Linked DNA regions of Sus scrofa. The protein of the gene in region 1 purifies or fractionates together with the protein of each later gene. This does not show direct contact. Links are inferred from orthologs where the notes say so. Each region holds a gene or a part of one and is shown in the gene's direction. Other genes may lie near its edges.

Region 1 (3,500 bases):
CGCAGTGAGTTAAGAATCTGGTGTCGGAGTTCCTGTCGTGGCTCAGTGGTTAACGAATCCAACTAGGAACCATGAGGTTGCGGGTTCCATCCCTGGCCTCTCTCAGAGGGTCAAGGATCCGGCGTTGCCGTGAGCTGTGGTGTAGATCGCAGACACCGTTTGGATCTGGTGTTGCTGGGGCTCTGGCACAGGCTGGCAGCCTACAACTCCCATTAGACCCCTAGCTTGGGAACCTCCATATGCCGTGGGTGCAGCCCTAGAAAAAACAAAAAACAAAACAAAAAAAAGAATCTGATGTCACTATAGCAGCTCAGGTCGCTGCTGTGGCACGGGTTCGATCCCCGGCTGGGGAACTGCCACATGCTGTGGGTGTGGCCAAAAAAAAAAGAGTCAGAGGAACTATAATCTAGTTAGTGCGGTGTGTGCCGCTTATTAGCTGTTTGACTTTTAGGCAAGTCATGTAATCTTGCTGAACTTTGATTCTCATTCCTGTCAGATGGAGAGTAATAATCTATCTTACTTCACAGGGCTATTGTGAAGCATTCAGTGAATATTTGTTGAGTTTTTAATTTAAAAGTTTGAAGGTAGTGGTTCCCAAAGGCAGATTGTAGTTAGGCTGGTTGCGTCATTGTCACAGGATAAACTTTAAAAAATAGAGGTGGCAGGGCCTCCTCAGGAGATCTGAATCAGTAACTTGGGAAGAAGCGAGGATAATCCTGAAATCTGAGGGTTTTTTTTTTTTAAGATTCCCTTGTGATTTCAATTGATACCCTTATATAGAAATTACCCTAAGGTATCAGTAATGAAATATATTATTCTTTGGGGACCCATGGAAAAATGTAGTGGAGGAAAACAATAGTCTTGAGGGAGAAAAATGAAGGAAAAATGATAATGAAGATTATCAATTCCTTTATAATTAAATAGTAGTTTTTCCAGGTTTTTTTTTTTTTTTTTTTTTTTTTTTTTTTTTTTTGTCTTTTTGCCATTTTTTGGGCCGCTCCCGGGGCAGCTAGGGGTCGAATCGCAGCTGTAGGCTGCCAGCCTATGCCAGAGCCCCAGCAGTGCAGGATCCAAGCCGTGTCTGCGACCTACACCACAGCTCATGGCAACGCCGGATCGTTAACCCACTGAGCAAGGGCAGGGATCGAACCCGCAACCTCATGGTTCCTAGTCAGATTCATTAACCACTGTGCCGCCATGGGAACTCCAGTTTTTCACAATTCGTTTTGTGCCAGGTAGTTGGTGATAATGAAGGATATGATAATTACGGCCACTATAATGACTTCTTGCTTGATGAATACCTGTTTCATTTTACTTATTTTTTCTCAACGTCCTGATGAAGTAGGCATTTGTTATTTATTTATTTATTTATGAAGTAGGCTTTTTTTTTTTTTTTCCCACTGTACAGCAAGGGGGTCAGGTTATCTTTACATGTATACATTGCAATTACAGTTTTTCCCCCACTCTTTCTTCTGTTGCAACAGAAGTAGGCATTTTTTATTCTCATCTTGTAAATGGTGAAACATGCTCAGGGAGGGTAAATACATTATCTAGGGTCACATAACTAGCACGTGGTGGGCCTGGTTTTTAACTTAGGTTTCTCTGACTTCAAAACCCAAACTGTTTCCTTTATGCTATACCTTATAAGGATTATATTTATGATTTTTCTCATCTTAAGCCCTAGGTTCTGTCTCTTGCATACTTTGCTTCTGTTGGAGAAGTTAGTTTTTCTTCTCTTTATTTTTGCAGATGAACTCGAGATGCTTTCTGAAGCTAGAGCCCGCCTGGCTAATACTCAGGGAAAGAAAGCCAAGAGGAAAGCACGAGAGAAACAGTTGGAAGAGGCAAGGTATGGTTGCTTCCATCCATAGTTGAACAATTAGGCTGTGTATCCTTAGGCTCAGTAAAATTGCATGATTTATCAACCTCATTAGGTGAGTGATAAGTAGAATTGTTCACTTCCAGTTTTCTAATAGTCTTTAGTGTCTTTGTTACTTTGGAAGCCTTAAATATTTTCTCCTAACCATTTCAGAATAGTTATAGAAACAATATGTATTTTAAAAAAGTTTTGTAAAATGTGGCAGAAGCAGTGCCCAGATACAGACATGCATTTATGTGCAGGTGTACACGCGCGTGCATGGGCACTCTCTCTCTCTCAGTGTGTTTAATTAATTTTGTTAGCATAAAATAGCTTCATTTGTTCTAGCCTCTTGGCCTCAGATGCCTAGAGGACACACAGGGCTCTGGGACTTTGGCGCGACTGCCAGGGAGTTACTCTCCTTGATTAGTGTTGGACAGGCACTGACACCAGCTGTGAAACAGGAAACTCGGCTGAACACAGAGGGAGTTAATGAGCCCTGAACTGGATTTTAGGCTGTCATAGAAATTTCTATTTAAAAAATGAGTGGAGTTACATTTTGCCCTCGACTCAAGGTTGTCTCCATTTTCCCCTTCCTTTTGATTAGATCTATGATTGACATTATGCCTAATGGCCTAGAAACCAAGGTGAAGTGGATAAAGAGAAAACCTGAACTTTCTAAGAGCTTATTAGCTTTGGAATTCAGGCAGGAATAACCTTCAACTCCAGAATTTCTATTTGGTTCTTTTTAATCATTTCTATCTTTCACCGATTTTCTCTTTTTAATGAATGTTTTCAACCTACCTTCCTTCTTTAATCATGGCTTCCTTTTATTCTTTGAACATACTTCTGCCCCTTTGAAGTCTTGTCTGTTAAATCTGACATCTGGTTGCTCTCAGGTGTTGCCTCCTTGTTTTCTGGTGTGTGGGTCATACTTTCCTGCTGTTTCTTTGCATGTCTTACCTTTTTTTTTTGGGAACTGGATGCTTTGGATGCTCCATCGTAGGAATTCTGTGTACGTGTCCCCCGCATCCCCTCTTGGTTAGTGTTATTTCTAGTTTACTTGTTTTGCGACCAGCAGGGTTATTTTAGTGAAGTCTGTCCTCCCCTTCCCTCCTCCCACAATGGGAATCCTCTGATCTTGCTCCTTGTGGGGATGGTCTTGGGTGTGACCAGTCACTTGGGATGATGTGGTTTTGATAGGACTTTCTTTGACATCTTTCCCCTTGGCTATGCACAGCTGTTAAACTCTGCTAATTGTCAGCTTATTGCTGTATTGTTTTCAACAATATCTTGGGGCATAAGTTGCTCCACAAAGTGATCCCTTCATTGGCTCCTTTGAAGGGATTGTTTCTGAGGTGAAGGTTTGATATTTGTTCTGACCCCGGAAGGGCTTCCCCCACTTTTCAAAAGAGAAAGAGTCTCTCTGGCAAACTAGTGGGTCTGCAGTTTAGCCAGTATCACCAGTGAATGAATCTATCAGTTTCTTCCCAACTGCCTTTCACCATAGCTTCCACTGTTTTTTTTTTTTTTTTTGTCTCCCCATGGCATGTGGAGTTCCCTGCCGGGGTTCAGATCCAAGCCACAGTTGAGACTTACAGTGCAGCTGAGGCAGTGCCACATCCTTAACCCACTATGCTGG
Region 2 (3,500 bases), on another chromosome or scaffold:
CCTGGCTTGGGGTGTGAATCTTCCTGCACATACTGTCATCATCAAAGGCACGCAGGTGTACAGTCCAGAGAAGGGGCGCTGGACAGAGCTGGGGGCCCTGGACATTCTGCAGGTATGGAGCTTTTGAGTGGGGACGAGTATGCTATATGTAAAATGCCAGGATGCCCAGAGGATGACAGGTGGAAGGTGAGGTTCTAAAGGTAGAAGCCTGGGATCCAGCCCCGAAGCTCTGTGACCACAGCCCTCTTGCTGCTCTCTGACCCAGATGCTGGGACGTGCGGGACGACCTCAGTATGATACCAAGGGCGAAGGCATCCTCATCACTTCACATGGGGAGCTGCAATACTACCTGTCCCTCCTCAATCAGCAGCTGCCTATTGAGAGCCAGATGGTTGCAAAGCTGCCTGACATGCTCAACGCGGAAATCGTGCTGGGGAATGTCCAGAACGCAAAGGTAGGGGAGGCCCCTTTCCCTGGCGCCTCGTGCCGTCTTCAGAGAGGCCTGGGTTCTGGGAGTGTGGTGATCTTGTGCGTGGTGCTGTGGGCCACCAGCACGTGGGGTCCTCCAACCCTGGGCCTCACGTCTCCTATGTAAGCAGGTTCTCATAAGCTGCTTAGGACTCTTTTTTTTTGAAGGGGGGCGGCGTGCTAAAAGCATGTGGAAGTTCCTGGGCTAGGAATTGAATCCACACCACAGCAGTGACCCGACCTGCTGCAGTGACAATGCCGGCTCCTTAACCTGCTGTGCCATAAGGGAACTCTCAGACTCATGTTTTTTTTTGTTGTTGTTGTTGCTATTTCTTGGGCCGCTCCCACGGCATATGGAGGTTCCCAGGCTAGGGGTTGAATCGGAGCTGTAGCCACCGGCCTACGCCAGAGCCACAGCAACGCAGGATCCGAGCCACGTCTGCAATCTACACCACAGCTCACGGCAATGCCGGATCGTTAACCCACTGAGCAAGGGCAGGGACCGAACCCGCAACCTCATGGTTCCTAGTCGGATTCGTTAACCACTGCGCCACGACGGGAACTCCTCATGTTTTTTAATAATGAAGTATTATAGGAGTTCCTGTTGTGGCTCAGCGGTTAACGAATCTAACCAGTATCCATGAGGATGCAGGTTCGATCCCTGGCCTCGCTCAGTAGGTTAAGGATCCGGCATTGCCGTGAGCTGTGGTGTAGGTCACAGACATAGCTTGGATCCCACATGGCTGTGGCTGTGGAGCAGGCTGGCAGCTACAGCTTAATTTTACCCCTAGCCTGGGAACCTCCATATCCCATGGGTGTGGCCCTAAAAAGCAGAAAAAAAAAAAAAGTATTGTAAATGTTCATAAGACAGCATAATACATGTTCTAATAGGAATTAATTTCCAAGTGTACCCTGGGAGCTTTTCACTGAGACATCAGCCCTCTGTGCTAAGACCCATGATCTGTCTCTTACAGGATGCAGTGAACTGGCTGGGCTATGCCTACCTGTACATCCGAATGCTTCGATCCCCAACCCTCTATGGCATTTCTCATGATGACCTCAAGGGAGACCCCCTGCTGGACCAGCGCCGACTGGACCTGGTTCATACTGCTGCCTTGATGCTGGATAAGAACAATCTGGTCAAGTATGACAAGAAGACGGGCAACTTCCAGGTGAGGGGCTGAGGGCTGGAGGCAAAGATCCCAGCAAAAGTTGTGGCCCCTGGAGACAGTTTTTTAGGTGCTGTCTTTTTTTCTTTTTTCTTTTTTGTCTTTTTTTGCTATTTCTTGGGCTGCTCCCGCGGCATATGGAGGTTCCCAGGCTAGGGGTCGAATCGGAGCTGTAGCCGCCGGCCTCCGCCAGAGCCACAGCAACGTGGGATCTGAGCCGCGTCTGCAACCTACACCACAGCTCACGGCAACGCCGGATCGTTAACCCACTGAGCAAGGGCAGGGACCGAACCCGCAACCTCATGGTTCCTAGTCAGATTCGTTAACCACTGTAGGTGCTTTCTTGATTTGAGTATTACCTGTCTTAATTGCCTGTTGCTTGGGACAGTCGAAAATAAGGTGGCATTGGCCTATGCCCTCTGAACCTAGGAACTTATAAGATGGCATTAAATCTGGCAGTGCTTCCTTTCCGTATCTTGAGCTGTGGTAGCTGAGTCAGCTCTCTTTTCTATGTGGGCATCACTTCCCTGTAGGTCAGTTTATCATGCCATCTCTGTTCACGTGTGTGGCCCAGGGGCTGGTTCTCTGTGTTCATCAGTGGGCACCTCTCGTCTGCGATGAGAGGTTGCCATTTGTCGGTGATCAGTGTTGGATTGAGTCTCCCTTCTTCGTAGGTGACGGAACTGGGCCGTATAGCCAGCCACTACTACATCACCAATGATACAGTGCAGACCTACAACCAGCTGCTCAAGCCCACCCTGAGTGAGATTGAGCTTTTCAGAGTCTTCTCATTGTCCTCAGAGTTCAAGAACATCACTGTGAGAGAGGTGGGTCCACACGGCATGTTGGGAACAGAAGTTGGTACTTACAGCCATGTCACTGGAGGGTTCTCTCCGTGGCCTCCTGGCCTTTCCTTGAGCTGTTTCCTTCTTGTGGTAGGAGGAGAAGCTGGAGCTGCAGAAGTTGCTGGAGAGGGTGCCCATCCCTGTAAAGGAGAGCATCGAGGAACCCAGCGCAAAGGTGAGTCCAGTTCCCCCGCTGGGGATAAGGAACAGGTGGTTTTCCTCATCTTCTAAAAGATGAACCTTGATTTTGGGCTTGGACTTGGTAAGCTGCTTGGTTGTCCTGGTTTCTGCATCCTTCTCATGTGTTCTTTTTACAGGAAGTAACGATTACTTAATGTCTTTCAATCGAGAGCTCTAGAGGGTCTCATCTGGCATGGGTGCCCACAGCAGAAATGCGATTCACTGTCTGGGGCGGTTCAGTGATGGGCCTCCTTCTGGCCAATTTTGATTTTTTTCCAGATCAACGTGCTTCTCCAAGCTTTCATCTCACAGCTGAAGTTGGAGGGCTTTGCTCTGATGGCCGACATGGTGTACGTTACCCAGGTGAGGGCAGGGCGGTGCCTCCTGTGGTGAGTTCCTCTCCTGTGTGCTCTGTCTGCGGTGAACAGTGAGGGAGAGGGGATGCTGAGCCTTCCCTCGATGGCTCGCTGGTGGGTGCACGTGTGCTGTAGCTGCTCTGTCGCACTGATGTTGAGTGTGTGGGAAGGTAAGGCCTTGAGAGGGATGCTGGGGAGGCTCCAGGGGACACAGTGTCTGCTCCCTGCAGAGAAGGCCTTCCCACTGTGGCTGCTGGGCTCATAAATAAACCCAGAAATGGCCAAAGGCTTTATTAGCTCCTCTTTGTCTTTACCTCTCAGGCTAAGTCAGTCCCTAAGACCCTTACTCTTGCTAGAACCCTAAATGCTAAATGAGCTAAAGGCTGTAAAGTCATGCAGTGAGCGGTAGTTGGAAGGCTGTGCTGTGAGCTCGAGCTGCATTTCTCTAACTGTCCTGCGTTCAGTGAGCATCTACTGTTAGT
Region 3 (4,170 bases), on another chromosome or scaffold:
GAAACTCTAAAACCATTTATGTGGCAGTGTCAGTCTGACTCAGGATTGCTAACTGCCCGGGTCCCAGGAGATACTGAAGGAATTCCAGTGTAGACAAAGAAGTAACTGATTGCACTTGCAGAGGAGTAAGAATGGCCTGGGTTTGGATTCGTACTGTGCTATGTGAATTGAGGATGTGAACCTCACTGTCCTCATCCATAAATAAGTTGCTATAAGAAATAAAGTAATGTAGGAGTAATCTGAATAAGAACCATGAGGTTGCAGGTTTGATCCCTGGCCTTGCTCAGTGGGTTAAGAATCTGGTGTTGCCATGAGCTGTGGTGTAGGTTGCAGACGCGGCTCGGATCCCTCGTTGCTGTGGCTCTGGTGTAGGCCAGTGGCTACAGCTCTGATTAGACCCCTAGCCTGGGAACCTCCATATGCTATGGGAGTGGCCCTAGAAAAGGCAAAAAGACAAAAAAAAAAAAAAAAAAAAAAAGAAAGAAAGAAAGAAATAATGTAATGTAATGTAATGCATGTAGTGTTGGGCACAGGGTCTGACCCATGGTATATGTTCAAAAAGCCCTAGCAAACATTATCATTCTACATTAATAATAACAATGACATAAACCAACTATGGTGTGTAAATAAGGAAGAAAGGCGGGGAGGAGAATTGGGAGGGTATCCTTTCCTATCACTCCCCCATTTCATAGGTGAAGAAATTGAAAGCAAGGGTTCAGAGAGAGCCACATTACAGAGTTAAGAGGGAAGAGAGGGTCTCAGGAAAGGAAGCGAAAAGGGCGGGATTGGAAGTGACGGAGGGAGGAGTGGGGAGTGAGGGAAGAGATTTCACAGGCACAAACCTCCGGGCGTGAGAGGTTGAGCCTAAAGAAGGCGGCCAGATTTGAGCTAGTCCACGGAATTTCAAGGCCTAACTATGGAAGGCAGGGGTGGAACCTGGAAAAGGCAAGACCAGAGGGAAATAGTACCAGAGGGAATTAGGGATTGATATTTGGGAAGGAGGTGGTGGCCTGAAGCAAAAAGAGGCTGGGGGACGAGGTTTTGGCCAAATGGGAGGCCAAAGAGAGGGAGCGGGGGCCTTGGAAAGCGAGGGTCAGAGGGAGAGGAATACTCTGGTAAAGGAGAGGGGGGCCAGGGCCGTGGGGGGCGTGAGAGGACGTCGGAAGGGGAATGTAAAACGTCTCACCAGTCTCTGGAGTCGCAGCCTCAGCCCGTGTCTGCTCCGCTCATGGAACTGCCCCCCCGGAGCGACTGTAGCTTGTGGGAGCCTCAGCAAACCCTAGCCTGGTTCCTCGACCGCTGCCATGGCAACAGCGTCGGGAGCTGGCTGCTCCCGTAAGGGGAGGGGCGGGAAATTACGTCACGGGGATGGGCGTGCCCGGAAGTACGTCAGCCTCTTCCCCTCGGCGGCGACAGGCGAGTCGCCGCCGCCATCTTGCGGGCTTGTGTCATAGTCCGTGCGGGGAAACCGCTTTGACGCCTCACTGCTCACTTACGCCCAGGCGGACTGGCAGCCCTGAGCGTCGCCGTCATGCCCGCCGGACCCGTGCAGGCGGTGCCTCCACCGCCGCCCGCGGCCACCGAGCCCAAACAGGTACAGCCACCCCCGCATCTCCACCGGCAACTGAGCCTAGGCCTGAGCCCTCCCCTCCGGCGCGGGCGCTTCTCACTCGCGGAGGAAGTAGCAGCCGTTTAGGAGGGCTTGGAGGAACTCCAAGTCCCAGGAGGCAGCGCGCTTCCCGCCTGCCTTCTAGTAGCGAAACAAGCCTGCTTGGAACAGTGGTTTTCAAAGTGTAGTCCGTGGAAAGTGTAGCATCGCCTGGGAGCTTATTAGAAATGCTGAGTTTCCACTTCTTCTAAATCAGAATCTGCATTTTTTTTTTTTTGGCTTTTTAGGGCCGCACCCGTGGCATATGGACGTTCCCAGGCTAGGGGTCTAATCGGACCTGTAGCTGCAAGCCTTTACCACAGGCACAGCAAGGCAGGATCCAGTCCTCATCTGCAACCTCTACCACAGCTCAAGGCAACGCTGGATCCTTAACCCGCTGAGCAGGGCCAGGGATCGAACATGCGTCCTCATGTATGCTAGTCAGATTCGTTAACCACTGAGCCACAATGGGAACTCCAGAATCTGCATTGTAACAAGACCCAAAGGTGATTCACTGAAGTTTGAGAATCACTAATCCAGCGCATCCACTGGTCTTCTGCAGTAATTGGGCCCACTGGCCCCCACAAGCCTTTGACAGGAATCCTTAATTTCCCAGCCTGCATGGTGCCACTTTGTTAAATTCTCAGCATCTCCTTTGTGCTTCCTTTAAGCTAGATACTGTACCAGGCTTTGTCTTTACCTTAATGAATGAAGCACAACTCCTGCTTTAGGGAACTAGTGGGGAGACAGATATAAGTGAATACTCAATAAGTGTTTATTGCCTCAATCACCTTAAATGATACAGTTCCAGCCAGCCTTTAAACATCTTAATCAGCTAAGGAGGAAAGATGTGTATAGATAATTGCAGTGTGATATAAGTATCAAGTGCAAAGGAGACATTAATTCTGATCAACATTGCTTTGGTGGGATAGAGGAGAGATTAAGATAGATGAAGCCCATGGGAGTGAGAGGTAAATTGTGTTTAGAAGGATGAATTGGTAATTCACTATATAGGGGATTGGGAAGGGAAATTCCATTCTTTATTCATTCACCAAACATTTATTGAGCACATATTTTATGCTGATCAGTGCAATCACCTATGTATCCCTAACATTTTCCCAGTAACTTGGTAAAAATAAAGAAGGTAATACCAGATAAGTGCAAAGATACCTAGCTAGGAACTGATGGGACCTCTGATGGGTGTAAAGGTTAAAGCATAGAATTGGGGAAATTGGTGGTGAAGAGATGTATTTCTGGGGCTTTGAACTTTTCTAGTAGGCTATTGGGAGAAAAGGAAGCTGGATAGTGACATTTGTGTTTCACAAAATTCAGGTAGACAGTAATGTGGAGAATCGCTAGGAGGATAGGTTGGTCATATTATTCGAAAAATGTTGGCGTTCCTGTCGTGGCACAGCGGAAACAATCCGACTAGGAACCATGAGGTTGCTGGTTCCATCCCTGGCCTTGCTCAGTGGGTTAATGATCCGGTGTTGCCACGAGCTCTGGTGTAGGTTGCAGACGTGGCTTGGATCTGGTGTTGCTGTGACTCTGGCATAGACTGGAAGCAACAACTCAGATTGGACCCCTGGCCTGGGAACCTCCATATGCCACGGGTGCGGCTCTTTTTAAAAAGGACAAAAAAGACAAAAAAAAAGTTGAGGGCCTGACCTATATGTGGCAGGGGAATAGAACAGAGGGGATCCAGCAAGCTCATGTCACAGAAGGGCTGATGGTGCTAGCACTCCTTTTATCTTTTTTTTTTTTTTTTTTTTTTGGTCTTTTTAGGGCCACACCTGAGGCATATGGAGGTTCCCAGGCTATGGGTCAAATCGGAGCTGTAGCTGCCTGCCTACGCCACAGCCACCACAGTGCCATATCCGAGCCACATCTGTGACCTACACCACAGCTCACGGCAACACTGGATCCTTAACCCACTGAGGAAGCCAGTAATCCAACCTGTGTCCTCATGGTTACCAGTTAGATTTGTTTCCATTGAGCCACAATGGGAACTCCCTGGCACTCCTTTTAAAGTGATGTCTCTGGGCCAGTTCAGGTCTCCATTCCTCAGTTTTGTTTTTTGTTTTTGTTTTTGTTTTTTAGGTCTTTTTAGGCCCACACCTGCAGAATAAAAAGGTTCCCAGGCTAGGGGTCAAATCACAACTGCAGCTCCCGGCCTACACCACAGCCACAGCCATGCCAGATCCGAGCCATATCTGCAACCTATGTCACAGCTTTTGGCAACGCCCGATTCTTTAACCCACTGACCTCGAGGCCAAGAATTGAACCCTTATCCTCGTGGATATTAGTTGGGTTCTTAACCGGCTGAGCCACAGCAGGAACTCCTCCTCAGTTTTGATATCTGTAAAATGTGGATTATAGCACTTTACCCCCATAGGGCTCTGAAACGGTTATAGAGTTAACATGCTTAAATTGCTTAGAAAAGTCTATGGAACCTACTCTGTGCTTGATGAATGTTGTTATCGTTGAATGTGGAGACTGAGGAAGGGAGTAGATGCCTGCAT
Region 4 (2,275 bases), on another chromosome or scaffold:
TTATGTTCTGTGGAGTTCCCTGAGTGGCACAGTGGGTTAATAAGGATCTGGTATTTTCATTGCTATGTCGAGGGTGCAATCCCTGGCCCCAGAACTTTACATGCTATATATAGGTGTGGCAGAAATAAAAAATTTATGTTTTGGGAGTTCCCGTCGTGGCGCAGTGGTTAATGAATCCGACTAGGAACCATGAGGTTGCGGGTTCAGTCCCTGCCCTTGCTCAGTGGGTTAACGATCCGGCGTTGCCGTGAGCTGTGGTGTAGATCGTGTAGATTGCAGACGCGGAGGCTCGGATCCCGCATTGTTGTGGCTCTGGCGTAGGCCGGTGGCTACAGCTCCGACTGGACCCCTAGCCTGGGAACCTCCATATGCCGTGGGAGCGGCCCAAGAAATAGCAAAAAGACAAAAAAAAAAAAAAAAAAAGAGAGAGAGAATTACTGGTCCTTCTATTCCTTTCCCCAAGTTGAGAATGAAACTTAAAATTTTTTTTATAAGGAAAGGGGCTTAATCTCAATTTAGTTATCTATTGTATGCCGATATTGAAATACTTGAAATACTTTAGAAGATTTTAAATTTATGATGTTTTGGAGTTCCCATTGTGGCTCAACAGAAACAAATCTGACTACTATCCATGAGGATGCAGGTTCAATCCCTGGCCTCTCAGTGGGTAAAGGATCTGGCATTGAGTGAGCATTAGTGTAGGTCACAGACATGGCTCAGATCCCATGTTGCTGTGGCTGTGGTGTAGGCCAGCAGCTGTAGCTCTGATTTGACCCCTAGCCTGGGAACCTCCATATGCCACAGGGGCGGCCCTAAAATACTAAATAAATAAATAAATAAATAAAGTTACAGTTTAAAATGAGATATTACTGTTAATCACTTGTATGTACAGTCATATAACCCTTTTAGTAGCATACAAAAATGTACATTGCACCGAGCTTTCTTAGCTCATTACTTCCAAAGCAAAATAAATGTGGTTTGTTTTTGAGCCATAGTGAGGTTTGAGTTATTACAGCAAAAGTCTCAATTAGTCTCTATAAAAGCATTCTACATCACATACATACCGTGTGAGGATGACTCTCAATCCATTCTATGCAGTGAATTTGTGATTTAGTTTCAATGGACAGGCAGGTATTTTCTGTAAAACTAAGACTGTATCTTAACACAGAGCATTTTTCCCCTTCCATTTCAGGGACCTTGTACATAGACAGACGGCTAGTGCGGTGGTGCAACACATGTCACTTGGGGTTTATGGATTTGGTTGTGAAGATTCGCTGAATCACTTGTTGAACTATGTATGGCCCAATGTGTTTGAGACCTCTCCCCATGTAATTCAGGCAGTTATGGGGGCCCTGGAGGGTCTGAGAGTTGCTATTGGACCATGTAGAATGCTGCAGTATTGTTTACAGGTAGGTTACAGATTTTTTAAAGTGTGCTTGTTGAAAAAAATAATTTAGTTGAATTAATTTACTGTTCCTAATTATCAACGGGATGTGCCCTTTGGGAAAACGGTTATCTGGGGAAGGAGGATTAGATATTGTCCTTTCCTACTGCAATTTTGTGCAGTTGTTAGGTTTTTCCCCCTCTAAAGGGAAATGTTTACAGCCATATATATGGTTAGTTTGTTAGTTATGCTAAAGTTATGTATTTCTTGAAATAATGCAACGTTTTTAATTATTCCAGGGTTTGTTTCACCCAGCCCGGAAAGTCAGAGATGTGTACTGGAAAATTTACAACTCCATCTACATTGGTTCACAGGATGCTCTCATAGCACATTACCCAAGAATCTACAATGATGATAAGAATACTTATATTCGTTATGAACTTGACTATATCTTATAACTTTATTGTTAAATTTTGTGTTTAATGCACAGCTGTTTCACAACTTAAACTTGCTTCGATTTGGTGATGTAAACTTTTAAACATTGCAGATCAGCGTAGAACTGGTCATAGAAGAAGAGCTAGAAATCCAGTAGCATGATTTTTTAAATAACCTGTCTTTGTTTTTGATGTAAACAGTAAACGCCAGTAGTGACCAAGAACACAGTGATACACACATTATACTGGAGGGATTTCATTTGTAATTCATCTTTATGAAGATTTAGAATTCATTCCTTATGTTTAAAGGGAATGTTTAATTGAGAAATAAACATTTGTGTACAAAATGCTAATAACTTGTGTGTGTTTTTTAAACATGACTTGTAAAATGCGGAACTTTGATCAAGTATTGGTTTGTGTAGAATAAGTGGCTTAATTATCATTTTCTGTCACCTGG
Region 5 (3,500 bases), on another chromosome or scaffold:
AGACGCGGCTCGGATCTGCGTTGCTGTGGCTCTGGCGTAGGCTGGCAGCTACAGCTCTGATTAGACCCCTAACCTGGGAACCTCCATATGCCATGGGAGCGGCCCAAGAAATGGCAAAAAGACAAAAAAAAAAAAAGAAGTAGTGCTTTTCAACTAGTGAACTCAGTGGGCCTGGCAAGGTGCTAGGTTTTGGAGCTGGTGCAGGCCCCCAACCGTCAGTCTAAGAATACTTTCTCTGGCACTCTTTTCCCAGAAAAGACTCCTGATCTCCTCTGGACCAGGGACTCCTGCCTTCTGGTCACAGTGGGGTGGGGGCTGCCTGTTGTTCAGTAGGTAGGTTTGAATGGACTTGCCATCTGTTCAGCCTGGCTTCACCGCAGCTTCCCTAGGGCCACTGTACCTGCCTCATTGCCAAGAGGCCCTTCATCCCAGTTTCTGAGAGAGTGAAGCGCTGACTTGCCAGGGAGTTGGTGCTGAAGCTGGGCCCAGGGCCACTCGGATGCAGGGCCTCCCCTCGGGTGTGATCAGTCCCTGGCTGGAGGCCGCCTGGGTGTGCTCTTCCCTGAGTGTCGCCCTGAGCGTGGTGGGCAGTACAGGCTTGTGGTCACTGTTTTATGAGATGATGGTGATGGTTGATGGCTGTTGTCTTTCATACCTTGCTTTACAGGATTCACAAGTTAGAGGCCCTGGCTGGACTTGTATGAATAAAAAGTCTAGCCCTGTTAATTCTGCAGCCAACTGAAAGATCACCCCACTGGTCACCAGATGTGAGGTTTCTGTTAATTCATCAGTTGCACTGCAGGGAGATGGTACAGCTGGCCTGTGCCCGGAGCACTAGTCTCCTGTGGCCGATGCAGTGAGCCACCACAGACTTGGTGGCTTAAACGACAGGACTTAAAAATGTAGCTCTGGAGACCACAAGTTTAGCAGAAGTCGCACTGAGCTTTATGCCTTCCAGAGGCTCCAGGAGAGAGTTGGTTCCTCCTTTTCCAGCTTCCAGAAGCACTGCATCCCTGCCCCTTCCTCCATCCTCAGTCATCAGCATGGCATCTCCCATCTTTCTCTGCCTCTGACCCTCCCGCCTCCCTCTTATGAAGACCCTGTAACAACACTGGGTCCCCCGGGGAATCCAAGATCACCACCAAATCAGGGGCCTTAACCCCATCTGCACTGTCTCCCTTGCCACATGAGGTGGCTCATCCAGGCACCCTGGGGTTGGGATGGGGATGTCTCTGGAGGGTTTTATTCACTCCTGGGCCTCATCCCTGGGAACCTACCCCAACAGAGACATGATAGCACCAGTTTAAATCAGGGGGCCCTGGAGTTCCCGTCGTGGCTCAGTGGTTAACGAATCCGACTAGGAACCATGAGGTTGCGGGTTCGGTCCCTGCCCTGCCCAGGGGGTTAACGATCTGGTGTTGCCATGAGCTGTGGTGTAGGTTGCAGACTCGGCTCGGATCCCGCGTTGCTGTGGCTCTGGCGTAGGCCGGTGGCTACAGCTCCAATTCAGCCCCTAGCCTGGGAACCTCCATATGCCGTGGGAGCGGCCCAAGAAATAACAAAAAGACAAAAAAAATAAAAAATAAAAAAATTTAAAAAAATAAATAAATCAGGGGGCCCTGAGGCCAGCACTGGCCAGCCAAGGACAGTGTAAGATGAGAGAAAGGTGCCTGGAGGTTGGGTCTGAGCCTGAAAGTGTGGAAAATGGGCAGTGGGCCTGGCTGACGAGGATGTGGAGGAGAAACTCAGTATTTTTCTCCAGAAAGCCCTCCTCAGGTGCGAACAAATCTTAAACATCTCTTGTGCATTAGGCAGTGGGGGGAGGGGGCAGGTAAGTAGACTTGTTCCTTCTCTCCAACAAATGCACAGCTGAGCCAGAGAAGTAGAATTTAGGGAGTTTCCATCGTGGCTCAGTGGAAACAAATCTGACTAGTATCCACGAGGACACAGGTTCGATCCAGGCCTCACTCAGTGGGTTAAGGATCCAGCATTGCTGTGAGCTGTGGTGTAGGTAACAGACATGGCTCAGAGCCCATGTTGCTGTGGCTATGGCCTAGGCCGGCAGCTACAACTCCCAGTTCATCCCCTAGCCTGAGAACCTCCACATGCCACAGGTGCGGCCCTAAAGAAAATAAAATAAGAATTTAGGTTGTGGAAATTGAGTGTAGCCGTTCCCACTGTGTTTCAGCAGGTTAAGGACTTGACTAGTATCCATGAGGATGTCGGTGTGAGCTGTGGTGTGGGTCGCAGATGCAGCTTGGATCCTGTGTTGCTCTGGCTGTGGCGTCATAGGCTGGCAGCTGGCAGCTCTGATTTGACCCCTTGGCCTGGGAATCTCCATATGCTGCAGGTGTGGCCCTGAGAAGCAAAAAGCCAAAAAAAAAAAAAAAAGTGTAGATAAGCAGAAAGGGAGCCACGAGGAGGGAGTGAACACTATGGGCTAGGGCAGTCTGGGAAGGCTTCTTGGAAAAGGTGAGACAAGTAAGAACTTGGCCTCACCTTCCCCGTTAACACTTCGGGTCTCTGGGCCTTTGCATTCCTCAGGCATCCTTATTCCTCATTTCTGTGCACATGGCTCATCGTGGGCCCTCAGCCCAGTCTTCTGGTGGCCCAGGGGCTGGCAGGGCAGAGAGAGTGCAGAGTGGGGGTGAGTCTGAACCCAGGAGGGCGAGGTCTCACATGCAGCAGCCTCATGGCTGCCTTGGCCTTGGCCTCGGCAGGTTTCTCCCCTGGTCTGGTAAACCCCCAGGGCCCTCGCCATGGACTTCCAACATCGCCCCGGCGGCAAGACCGGGAGCGGGGGTGTGGCCTCCTCCTCTGAGAGCAACCGGGATCGCAGGGAGCGCCTGCGGCAGCTGGCCCTGGAAACCATCGACATCAACAAGGTACTCCCTGGCCCCGTAGCCCTGCCCACCATTTTCTCTGGCCTCAAGGTCCTGCTCTGAACCAGGGCACTTGACCTAGAACAGCAGCTCTCGCTATCCCCCATAGACCATTTTCTGTTGGTAGCCCCATGTTTGAAGGGTTTTTACCACAGGAAGCTTTACTTAGGCAGAGGCCTGTGGGATTGCCAGTGGTGAAGCCTCAGAGGCCCAATGTGAGTTAATAACGTTGCAACCACAGGCAGCGAAGACCAACAGTTATCTGTTGGTGGACAGGTCCCCCCCACACACAGCACTGTGGACATGTAGGGCCAACCTAGGCACCACGGCATTTAGAGTAGCCCAGGAGCCCCCAACACTGGATGCCCGGAGCTGGCCCAGTGTCCCCTAAGAGCGGAACCACCCAAGTGAGACCCCAAGGTGAGGGATTCCGTGGACCCCAGGAGGCTGTGCTCCACAACCATCTGACCCCTGAGGTCCTGAGATGCTGCAGCACGTTTAAATACACACCTGAGTGGGAGGGAGGGGGTTGCTCACAGGTGCTGGCGGCCACCCAGGTCTATACCATCTCACCATTGGGAGTTTATTCTGCTGTGCAAGCCAGGGATCAAACTCAGG
Region 6 (4,300 bases), on another chromosome or scaffold:
CCTTTTAGAACTGAAAACATGACCTTCTGAAAAATCTTTTTAAGGCACTTTGGATCTTGAATATACTGTTTCCTTCTTTACTGTGACTGCCATGATGACTAGGGTCAAATTTGTAATCCATCTTTAGAACTCACAAATTTTTACTGCAGCCATTTTGTGTATTAACTTTATCCATGACTTCATTTTAATTTCCCCTTATATTCTCCGTGATTTCTCCATTCAATTGCAATAACGTTTTCTGGTATCTCTGTAAACAGCATCACATCACTGGGGAGAGGGATTGATGCGAATAAATAAAAATGAAGAAAATCATCCTCTCAATCAGGGTGCAGACCTGTTTCAGCATATTTATGACAGGGTTTTTTTTTTAATTTGAATTCACCATTAATATTTTAAAATCCCAGTATTTCATATAAAAATCCAGATTTCAGATGGCTCCGTGGCAAAATGTAACAAGTTCTTATCTCCCTGGACCAACATGCTGGCGAGATGAGTCCTTAAGCCGCCACTTCGGTCTCCAGTGGTCACAGAAATCCTCACACATCCACTTTGCTCATTCATATTACCTGAGAGATTTGCTAATGAGTTCCAAAAAAGGAAGGAACGTCAGGATTCTGCAATACAAACAGGAGGGCGCGCGTCTTTTTCGTTCTTTGAAAGACGTTGTAGAAATAACAGACACAATTCATTCTGCAAACCTTCACTGGACCTCTCCGCTGCGCTGGGCCCTGGCGATAGGTGATTTAAAAAAGAAGCAGAGGTCTGGGTCCTGGTTGGCTGATGCCGCCAGGAATTACCGCCACGAGCACAAGGAGCGTTGAACTGAGGTCAGTTCTGAACCGAAGGTGGAACGGTACTTAGCGTAGAATATTTATTAAAGCGTCTCAGCCAGGTTCCCCTGCATTAGACAGTCGTCCAAGCAGTCCACGGCCCGTTCGCAGATGGGGCGGGAAGACAAAGTCACGTCTCGGCTCCGCGTTGATTCACCCGCAACGCGACTCCTGAACGAGGTGCACTCTCCAAGGATGCCCGTGTTTCCGGAGCAACCGCCTGGTCCCTCCCCCTTTGACTCCGCCCCCGGCAGTCTTTCCCGCCAAAGGCCGTTAACAGCGCAGAGCATGGTGGGACCTAGCTTTAGGCTAGGTTTCACCAAATACTTTCAAGACGCCGTTTTTTTGAGAGAAACATTCCTGAGGAAACTGCTGATTCTTTAGGATTCGACAGAGATTAATAACCCCTTTTACGAGAGCTCTATATTTAATTTTGCCACAAGGCTGGTCACTCCCTTATTAAACCCCTCGACAAATCGGGAAGGCGGGAACTTTTTTCCCTTCGCGCGGAGGGTGACGTCGCGCTTGCGCGAGCGTCACTCTCGCAGCACCCGTTACGCTCTTGCGCGTGCGTAGTGAGATCGAATAGCTGCTTCCTCCCGCTTCTCTTCCTCCCTCCCCCCCATATCCGTGCGCCGAGCTGATAAAGGCGCCATTTTGGAGGGGCCGCGGGAGACGTGGTGTCGCTGCGGGCTCGCTCTCCCGCTCGCTAGGCTTGGTGGGAAGGCCTGTTCTCGAGTCCGCGCTTTTCGTCGCCGCCATGTCGGGAGGTGGTGTGATCCGTGGCCCGGCAGGGAACAACGATTGCCGCATCTACGTGGGTAACTTACCTCCAGACATCCGAACCAAGGACATTGAGGACGTGTTCTACAAATACGGTGCTATCCGCGACATCGACCTGAAGAATCGCCGCGGAGGACCGCCCTTCGCCTTCGTTGAGTTCGAGGACCCGCGGTGAGGCGGCCAGGGGCTTGCGGCCTTGAGGAAATAGGTTGGAGTAGTTGGGGAAGGCTCCGGGGCCTTCACTTGGGGAATGGGGCGGTGGGTTCTTGGGTTGGGGGCCAGACGATATCGCCCATGCAGGAGTCGAGTAAGGAGCCGAGTCGGCGTGGCTCCTCTGGTGGCCGGGCCCCACGGACGTCCCTAGAGCCGACTCGCAGGCTCGGAGCGGGAAACTGAGGCGCCGAGGGCTGCTGGAGTGGTCGGGAGCCTGGCGTGCTTCTGGGTGGGGGAGGGGCCGTTCCTATTATGCGGCGCATGTGGGCTCTTCCACCCCGGTGCGCATGTGCGGGGGCCCGCTCGCTCCCCGGCGGAGTGAGCCGCCCCTCCTGGCCCTTTTTTTTTTTTTTTCTTCTTTTCCTTACCCCTTGGCTTTCTCTGGTCACGCAGAGACGCAGAAGACGCGGTGTATGGTCGCGACGGCTATGATTACGATGGATACCGTCTGCGGGTGGAGTTTCCTCGAAGCGGCCGTGGTACCGGCCGAGGCGGCGGCGGGGGTGGTGGCGGCGGGGCTCCCCGAGGGCGCTATGGCCCCCCATCCAGGCGTTCTGAAAACAGAGTGGTTGTCTCTGGTGAGTTGGCGGGTCCGTGCGGATTGATGATAAGGGGACCGCACACCGTTTTGAAGTTTTTCTTGGTGTTTTCATGCCAGGTCTTCACTTAAACCGGAGTGCCTTGGGTGACTTTAGTTAACAAGGACTACTCTATTTGAGACTTAGCGAATTAGGTTGCAGTACCTAGAAGATAAGAAGAGCCTTAACTTTACAAATAATTTTGGACTCTTGATTCCGAACTCTTTTAACAGCTCGTTAAACGGGATGTTAAAGACCGTTGGTTTTAAGTCTTGTTTTAATGTAACCTTTATGTTTAATGTGAAACTTAGGATAATTGGTATTGAAAGAAAACGCACTTTTTCAGGACTGCCTCCAAGTGGAAGCTGGCAGGATTTGAAGGATCACATGCGTGAAGCAGGTGATGTATGTTATGCTGATGTTTACCGAGATGGCACTGGTGTCGTGGAGTTTGTACGGAAAGAAGATATGACCTATGCAGTTCGAAAACTGGATAACACTAAGTTTAGATCTCATGAGGTAGGTTATATTCTTTTCCTTGGCCAGAATTGGATACAGTGGTCTTAACAGTGGAATTTGAAGGTAAGATTCAGGCAAGGGTGTCCAAGTAAAAACCCAGTAAAGTGCCAGATTTCTGGTTTGAGTTACGTTGATTCATTCAGCATGCCTGAAGACAGGTGAAAGCTTAGATCTTTCAATCGAAAGTTCTGTCTATCCAATAGGGAGAAACTGCCTACATCCGGGTTAAAGTTGATGGGCCCAGAAGTCCAAGTTATGGAAGATCTCGATCTCGAAGCCGTAGTCGTAGCAGAAGCCGTAGCAGAAGCAACAGCAGGAGTCGCAGTTATTCCCCAAGGAGAAGCAGAGGATCACCACGCTATTCTCCCCGTCATAGCAGATCTCGCTCTCGTACATAAGATGATTGGTGACACTTTTTTGTAGAACCCATGTTGTATACAGTTTTCCTTTATTCAGTACAATCTTTTCATTTTTTAATTCAAAACTGTTTTTGTTCAGAGTGGGCTAAAGTGTTGAATTGCATTCTTGTGTAATATCCCCTTGCTCCTAACATCTACATTCCCCTCATGTCTGATAAATTGTATTTTAAGTGATGTCATAGACAGGATTGTTTAAATTTAGTTAACTCTCCATGCTCTTCAGACTGTGATACTGTGTAAATGTCTATTCTGCTCTGGTTTGTGTGAACTGGGATGTTGGGGGTGTTGGTGGTTATCTTACCTGGGGAAGTTCTTATGTTTATCTTGCTTTTCATGTGTCTTTCTGTAGACATATCTGAAGAGATGGATTAAGAATGCTTTGGATTAAGGATTGTGGAGCACATTTCAATCATTTTAGGATTGTCAAAAGGAGGATTGAGGAGGATCAGATCAATAATGGAGGCAATGGTATGACTCCAAGTGCTATTGTCACAGATGAAATTGGCAGTATTGACCTTATACTAAAAGGCAAGGGTTTAAAGTGATTATATACATCTATCTTAAAACACTTGAAAACATTTTATGCAGTTATATTTGGCTACAATTGCTTTACTCTTTAAAACTCTGGCAATTGTGGCAAAATTACATGGCCCATTTTGTAACAATTTGTTTTGCTCCCTTCCCTTTTTTGTTTTATTAGGGACTAATGTGGGAAGAACTGATTAATTTGTCACAGTGCTTAGTTACAACTGTTAATGTGTGACCTGCTGTTGGTGTACTTGTGGGTACAGGGTGTCTTTAATTCCAACCAGATAGAGTATAATATCAATACTGCTAAATCTGCATGTCCTCTGTGTGACTGATATAATAGCGTTGCTACTTCATTTTTTTAAGACAAAATGAAAGCAAAATAATAGAATTCCAATTTATTGGTGTAGATAATCTAGTTGGGAATACT
Region 7 (4,255 bases), on another chromosome or scaffold:
GGCAGGAGTGGGAGGAGAGAAGCAGCTGTGCCCTGAACAACTCGGAGGAGCAGAACTCCGGGAAGGAGGCATGAGCCGACTTGGACCAGAGGCAAGGCGGCAGAAGGCGGGACTCAATGACTTTTGGGAGAGGCGACCATCGAGGGGAGCGGGGAGCTCTGAACAGAGACTGCCTCCAGGAGGCGGTAAAGCGAGATTCTCTGTCTCCCGGAAGTGCCCGCTGCGTGGCTAGCAGCGTCGGCGCGGTTGGGGGGGGGAACGCTCGCTTGTGTGGTTGCCACGGCAACCGCAAGGGGGCGGCCTTGCTCAACGGTCGGGAATGTAGTCCCTTCCCTGGAGGAAGGAAATCTCGCGCACGCGCGCTCGGGCTGTGGCCCCGACGACCCGCCCCCCCTCTCCGAACAGTGAGAGGTCTCGGTTCAGACCGATCTCTACGCAGGCGCAGAGGCTCTCTCGCGCTCGCCCCTTCCACTTTGCGCATGCGCACAAAGCCGCGCTGGCAACCTCCGCAGCAGCCGCGCGCACTCTTCACTCCGCTGGCTGCTTTTGTCTCGCGAAACCTTCTTAGGCGCTTCTCAACATCGGTCCTTCTTTTCCTCCCATCGCCCCACAGGGAGAGCCGGGTGCTGAGAGCCGAGACCCTGCCTCTTCTTTTCCTTTCCCCTGACCCACCTCGCCTCTGTCCTCCCTCCCTTTTTGGTTCCCGGAGCCGGAAGGAGCCGAAGCGCCCACGGAAAAAGCCGAAGGTGTCTGCTGTGAGTCCTTCCCCAGGCGGTGGCGGAAGGAGCCGAAGTTCTCCGAAAGGGGGAGGAGGTTGCTCTTGGAATCTCCGGAAAGAGCCGAAGTTTGGAAACGGGTTTAATCTCTGGTTGGGCCCGAGGGGGAGCGCCAGAGACCTTCGGAAAGTGCCGAAATCCGGGACGGTTAGGATTGTCGGAAGTGGCCGATTGCTTGGACAGGGCCGTTGGGAAAGAGAGGGTAGAATCCGTGGAAGCAGCCAAAGACGGACGGTTTGAGTTCTTGGAAGAAGCTGAATTCTAAGTGGGGAGTCTGGGTGCTAGGAATGCGAGGACCTACGGAAACATCCGAACGTTGAAGAGCTACTATCCGAAAAGTTACGAAAACCTGAGAAGCCTGCGAAACCCTCGCTTCGGGTGTTTTCGGAAGCAGCCGAAGTCGCCTCTCCCTTCGCTCCTCCACGGTCCGGAAATAGCCGACGCGTTTCGGAGCCAGGCCCTGGGGGGAGGTGCGCCTCGTGGGCGGGCCGGCGGGGAGAGGGGCGGAGCCGGGGCGGGGCTGGGCGGGCGGCAGGGGCTTGATTAGGTAGGAGGCGGTGGAACGCCGGCGGCGGCCGGAAGTAGCCGAAGCAAGCGGCGGAAGTAGCCGAAGCGGCCGGATCGGGCGCGCGGCAAGGCGAGGCGAGAGCTACACAGGGCCCTACGCGGCCGCCTCAGCATGTCGGACTTCGACGAGTTCGAGCGGCAGCTCAACGAGAATAAGCAAGGTGAGGGCGCCGGGGGTGCGGGGCGGCGGGCGGGGCGGCTCTCGGCTTCCCCCTGTGTCCCCCGCCATTTTCCCCCTCGCTTCCCCCCCTTAGGCCCGCACGGCGCCCCCCCACCCCGCGGTGCGCGCCTTACTCACGTGACCGCCCGGCGTGCCGCCGCGCGGGAGGGGAGGGGGCGGCGGGCGCATGCGCGCCGCGTTCGGTTCCGCGCCCCACGTGGCCCCCGGCGCGGGTGGCGCGGGCGCCGCAGGCTGTCGGGAGTCCGTTGCGGACTTATTTTCTATTTTTTTAATTTGGAAAGGAGATTATGTAGATTGGGTCCCGCAACCCCTCCTTTTCTCCCGATGCCCTCGCACTTCCGCTTCCGGCCGGGCCCGCGGCCGGTGTCTCCACGCCCCCTTTGTTCCAAAATGGCGGTTGGAGCCCCCCTTCACGTGGGCGCATGCAGGGCCGCGGTGTGGGCCCTTCTCGCACCGCCGCCCTTCGCGCCTTTCCTGGGGGCTAGTCGCCGGGGTCCCTTCCAGCCTAACGTGGGTGATGCGGTGTCTCCTGGGAGAGGTCCGCACTGTGCGTTTTCAGTGTTCCTCCCGCACGCGGTTCTCCCTCGCGCCGTCGCGCCAGGCACAGTGTGGCGTGTCTGCCCCCCATATCTCCTCAGTTAGACAGGTCCCCTGTTCTGTACGAGCCCACCCTCCGGGCGCCGCGTGTGTCCGCCTTTTCAACGTGGCGATAAAGAGACAGGCTCGGAGCGAGTAGGGAGACTTAGCTCAGTTGGGAGGATGGGAGGCAAAGTCCCTCCGGTGATGCGGAGTCCAAGTAGGAGGCCGAGCTAGTGCCGACTAGTTTGGACACCCCACGAATGTTAGAACAAACTTAGGCCTGGAGGAGGTGGCGAGCGCGAGGCCTAAGCTCCTTGTGGTCAGAGGACTGCACAGGGGGCGGGGGGCGCTGGGGTTCCCCTTTCAGCCCAGTCTGCAGTTGGGAGCAGGTGGCTGGTTTAGGAGGAGACAGCGCCTGGGGAAGACGAAGTCGGGTTTCGGAGTGCCCACGGGGTGTCTGTACACGTTGTAACGCTTCACAGCACAGGCTTTGGAGGGGAGGAGACTTGGCTTCTAGTACCTGCTTTGTTGCTAAGTAGTTGTGGAACTTTAACACGTCTATGCTTTTTTTTTTTTTTTTTAATCCTTTTCTTGTGTGTAGTGGCTGTTAAATAGGTATGTGTCTTTATTACCGGTTTCTGGAGTCAATGGTGATGGCAGTACTGATAGTGCTTTGCTAAGCTTTTACACGGCTTATTTAAGTAGATGGTCAACAGCCGTGGGGGACTGACATGACTTCCTTTCCTTTGCAGAGGAGGAAGCAGGCTCAGAAAGCTTGAAAAACTTTCTTTGGTTTTAGCTGGTGAGAGTTGCAGCTGAGGTTAAGTGAGGTAATGTGTGTACAGTGTGTGGCATACGGTCTGGCATTCGTTAAGTGCCTAACGAGGAGTATTGTGAAATGATCCCTAGTGAAATTTCTTAGGAAGGTAATGGAGAGGCTGCCCTGAGCTGCCTCAGAGGTGGTGTCAGAGTTGGGACAGCAGGGAGAGGTGCTTTCCCAGCGTCATTATCCCATGTCCCACACTTGGGGCGGGATGAGCGTCGTTTAAAAGACCGGGAACACTGAGGTTGGAAGGTACGGTTGCTGTTTTGTGGTTTTATGCAGTTGGTAGACAGAAGAGCTGAAGCTGATCCTGAGTCTGGCTGCAAAACCACGTGCCCCTAGGCTGGACTGCTAGATGGAACTGAATGAACCTTCCTTGGGGCACTTGCACACGTGCTGCTTGGTTTCTCTTGGGTGTCCCCACTGGTACTGGCACGTCCCTTGGGCTGGTGGAGTTGTTCCCACAACAAAGTGATCACAGCGTTTTGAGTAACCACAGCTGCCTTTCCTTCCTGACCTGTTTGGGTTGAGGCAGGGAACCTACTGTTGCTTTAAGGGGAAGCTTTGCCCTAGTATCGTTGTGCCTGTGGGTCTTTGTCTCTGTGGTCCAAGCCTCCTCCAAGCCTCAGTCCCTGCCTTGTGCACCTGTGTCTCCAGGGAATTAATTTCCTTGTCTGTGTCTCAGGCACCCAGCAGGCGCCACTTCTTCCTCTGTGTCTGTTCCTCTCTGCCTGCTTGTCTGTTTCAGAACCAAAGCCACAAAAGACGCTGTTTTTATAGTTGGCCCATCTTTCAAGAGTGGAGCCAGAGGCCCAGAGCCTCAGGCCAGCACACCTCTGGGCCCTCAGTGTCATGCTTACCTGCTACTTCATGCTACTTGCCTCCTGGTTCCAGGCTTGGATTTGTTTTTCGTGTTCAGTCTGTGTCTTCAAGGAGGTAACCGCTTGTCTTTAGGGGCTCCCGCCAGACCCTGGAGTGTTCTGGCTGCCCCATGTTGAGTATTGCCTAGTGCTTAACTGCACTTGTGGGCATTTCAGTGTTCACAACTTCCTTGCTTTTTGGCCAGGGGCAAGTCACATGACCTCCCTGAGCCTCAGTTTTCCCATCTGTCAGGTGAGCCTCTAGCAGTGTCTCCCCAAGGTAACAAGATTAAGTTCAAGTAGAGCTAGCACAGGATCTAGTCTTAGGTACCATTGCAGTGTTGGCTGGAATTTTTTTTTCTGTTTTCCAAGGTGCGTGTTTTTCTGTCTTTTAGTGGTTCTGGAGTTTGAGTTCACTTGTGAAAAGTTTTATGTTTAATTGCATCAGAAAAACATGTGAGGCAAAAGC

What was found.
Region 2: the proteins of CDC5L (region 1) and SNRNP200 fractionate together in Homo sapiens (co-fractionation; 4 studies listed by BioGRID and IntAct, with this or other methods). This does not show direct contact. The link is inferred for Sus scrofa from reciprocal best matches to the Homo sapiens genes CDC5L and SNRNP200.
Region 3: the proteins of CDC5L (region 1) and SF3A1 purify together in Homo sapiens (affinity purification with mass spectrometry; 3 studies listed by BioGRID and IntAct, with this or other methods). This does not show direct contact. The link is inferred for Sus scrofa from reciprocal best matches to the Homo sapiens genes CDC5L and SF3A1.
Region 4: the proteins of CDC5L (region 1) and SF3B1 purify together in Homo sapiens (affinity purification with mass spectrometry; 5 studies listed by BioGRID and IntAct, with this or other methods). This does not show direct contact. The link is inferred for Sus scrofa from reciprocal best matches to the Homo sapiens genes CDC5L and SF3B1.
Region 5: the proteins of CDC5L (region 1) and SF3A2 purify together in Homo sapiens (affinity purification with mass spectrometry; 3 studies listed by BioGRID and IntAct, with this or other methods). This does not show direct contact. The link is inferred for Sus scrofa from reciprocal best matches to the Homo sapiens genes CDC5L and SF3A2.
Region 6: the proteins of CDC5L (region 1) and SRSF1 purify together in Homo sapiens (affinity purification with mass spectrometry; 4 studies listed by BioGRID and IntAct, with this or other methods). This does not show direct contact. The link is inferred for Sus scrofa from reciprocal best matches to the Homo sapiens genes CDC5L and SRSF1.
Region 7: the proteins of CDC5L (region 1) and U2AF2 purify together in Homo sapiens (affinity purification with mass spectrometry; 5 studies listed by BioGRID and IntAct, with this or other methods). This does not show direct contact. The link is inferred for Sus scrofa from reciprocal best matches to the Homo sapiens genes CDC5L and U2AF2.

The regions. Positions count from the first base shown.
Region 1 is NC_010449.5:39,390,897-39,394,396, forward strand, and holds part of CDC5L (cell division cycle 5-like protein), read left to right. Parts: intron 1-1,749; coding exon 1,750-1,849; intron 1,850-3,500.
Region 2 is NC_010445.4:46,946,066-46,949,565, forward strand, and holds part of SNRNP200 (U5 small nuclear ribonucleoprotein 200 kDa helicase), read left to right. Parts: coding exon 1-112; intron 113-265; coding exon 266-454; intron 455-1,442; coding exon 1,443-1,640; intron 1,641-2,311; coding exon 2,312-2,464; intron 2,465-2,576; coding exon 2,577-2,657; intron 2,658-2,941; coding exon 2,942-3,025; intron 3,026-3,500. UniProt on the Homo sapiens protein: Catalyzes the ATP-dependent unwinding of U4/U6 RNA duplices, an essential step in the assembly of a catalytically active spliceosome. Plays a role in pre-mRNA splicing as a core component of precatalytic, catalytic and postcatalytic spliceosomal complexes.
Region 3 is NC_010456.5:47,332,649-47,336,818, reverse strand, and holds the start of SF3A1 (splicing factor 3A subunit 1), read left to right. Parts: upstream 1-1,370; 5' UTR 1,371-1,531; coding exon 1,532-1,594; intron 1,595-4,170. UniProt on the Homo sapiens protein: Component of the 17S U2 SnRNP complex of the spliceosome, a large ribonucleoprotein complex that removes introns from transcribed pre-mRNAs.
Region 4 is NC_010457.5:101,276,744-101,279,018, reverse strand, and holds part of SF3B1 (splicing factor 3B subunit 1), read left to right. Parts: intron 1-1,192; coding exon 1,193-1,409; intron 1,410-1,683; coding exon 1,684-1,842; 3' UTR 1,843-2,275. UniProt on the Homo sapiens protein: Component of the 17S U2 SnRNP complex of the spliceosome, a large ribonucleoprotein complex that removes introns from transcribed pre-mRNAs.
Region 5 is NC_010444.4:76,407,882-76,411,381, forward strand, and holds part of SF3A2 (splicing factor 3A subunit 2), read left to right. Parts: intron 1-2,191; exon of another isoform or gene 2,192-2,350; intron 2,351-2,720; 5' UTR 2,721-2,759; coding exon 2,760-2,885; intron 2,886-3,500. UniProt on the Homo sapiens protein: Component of the 17S U2 SnRNP complex of the spliceosome, a large ribonucleoprotein complex that removes introns from transcribed pre-mRNAs.
Region 6 is NC_010454.4:34,279,319-34,283,618, reverse strand, and holds the start of SRSF1 (serine/arginine-rich splicing factor 1), read left to right. Parts: upstream 1-1,500; 5' UTR 1,501-1,590; coding exon 1,591-1,784; exon of another isoform or gene 1,785-2,211; intron 2,212-2,219; coding exon 2,220-2,404; intron 2,405-2,750; coding exon 2,751-2,923; intron 2,924-3,126; coding exon 3,127-3,321; 3' UTR 3,322-4,300. UniProt on the Homo sapiens protein: Plays a role in preventing exon skipping, ensuring the accuracy of splicing and regulating alternative splicing.
Region 7 is NC_010448.4:59,772,735-59,776,989, forward strand, and holds the start of U2AF2 (U2 small nuclear RNA auxiliary factor 2), read left to right. Parts: upstream 1-1,455; coding exon 1,456-1,504; intron 1,505-4,255. UniProt on the Homo sapiens protein: Plays a role in pre-mRNA splicing and 3'-end processing. By recruiting PRPF19 and the PRP19C/Prp19 complex/NTC/Nineteen complex to the RNA polymerase II C-terminal domain (CTD), and thereby pre-mRNA, may couple transcription to splicing.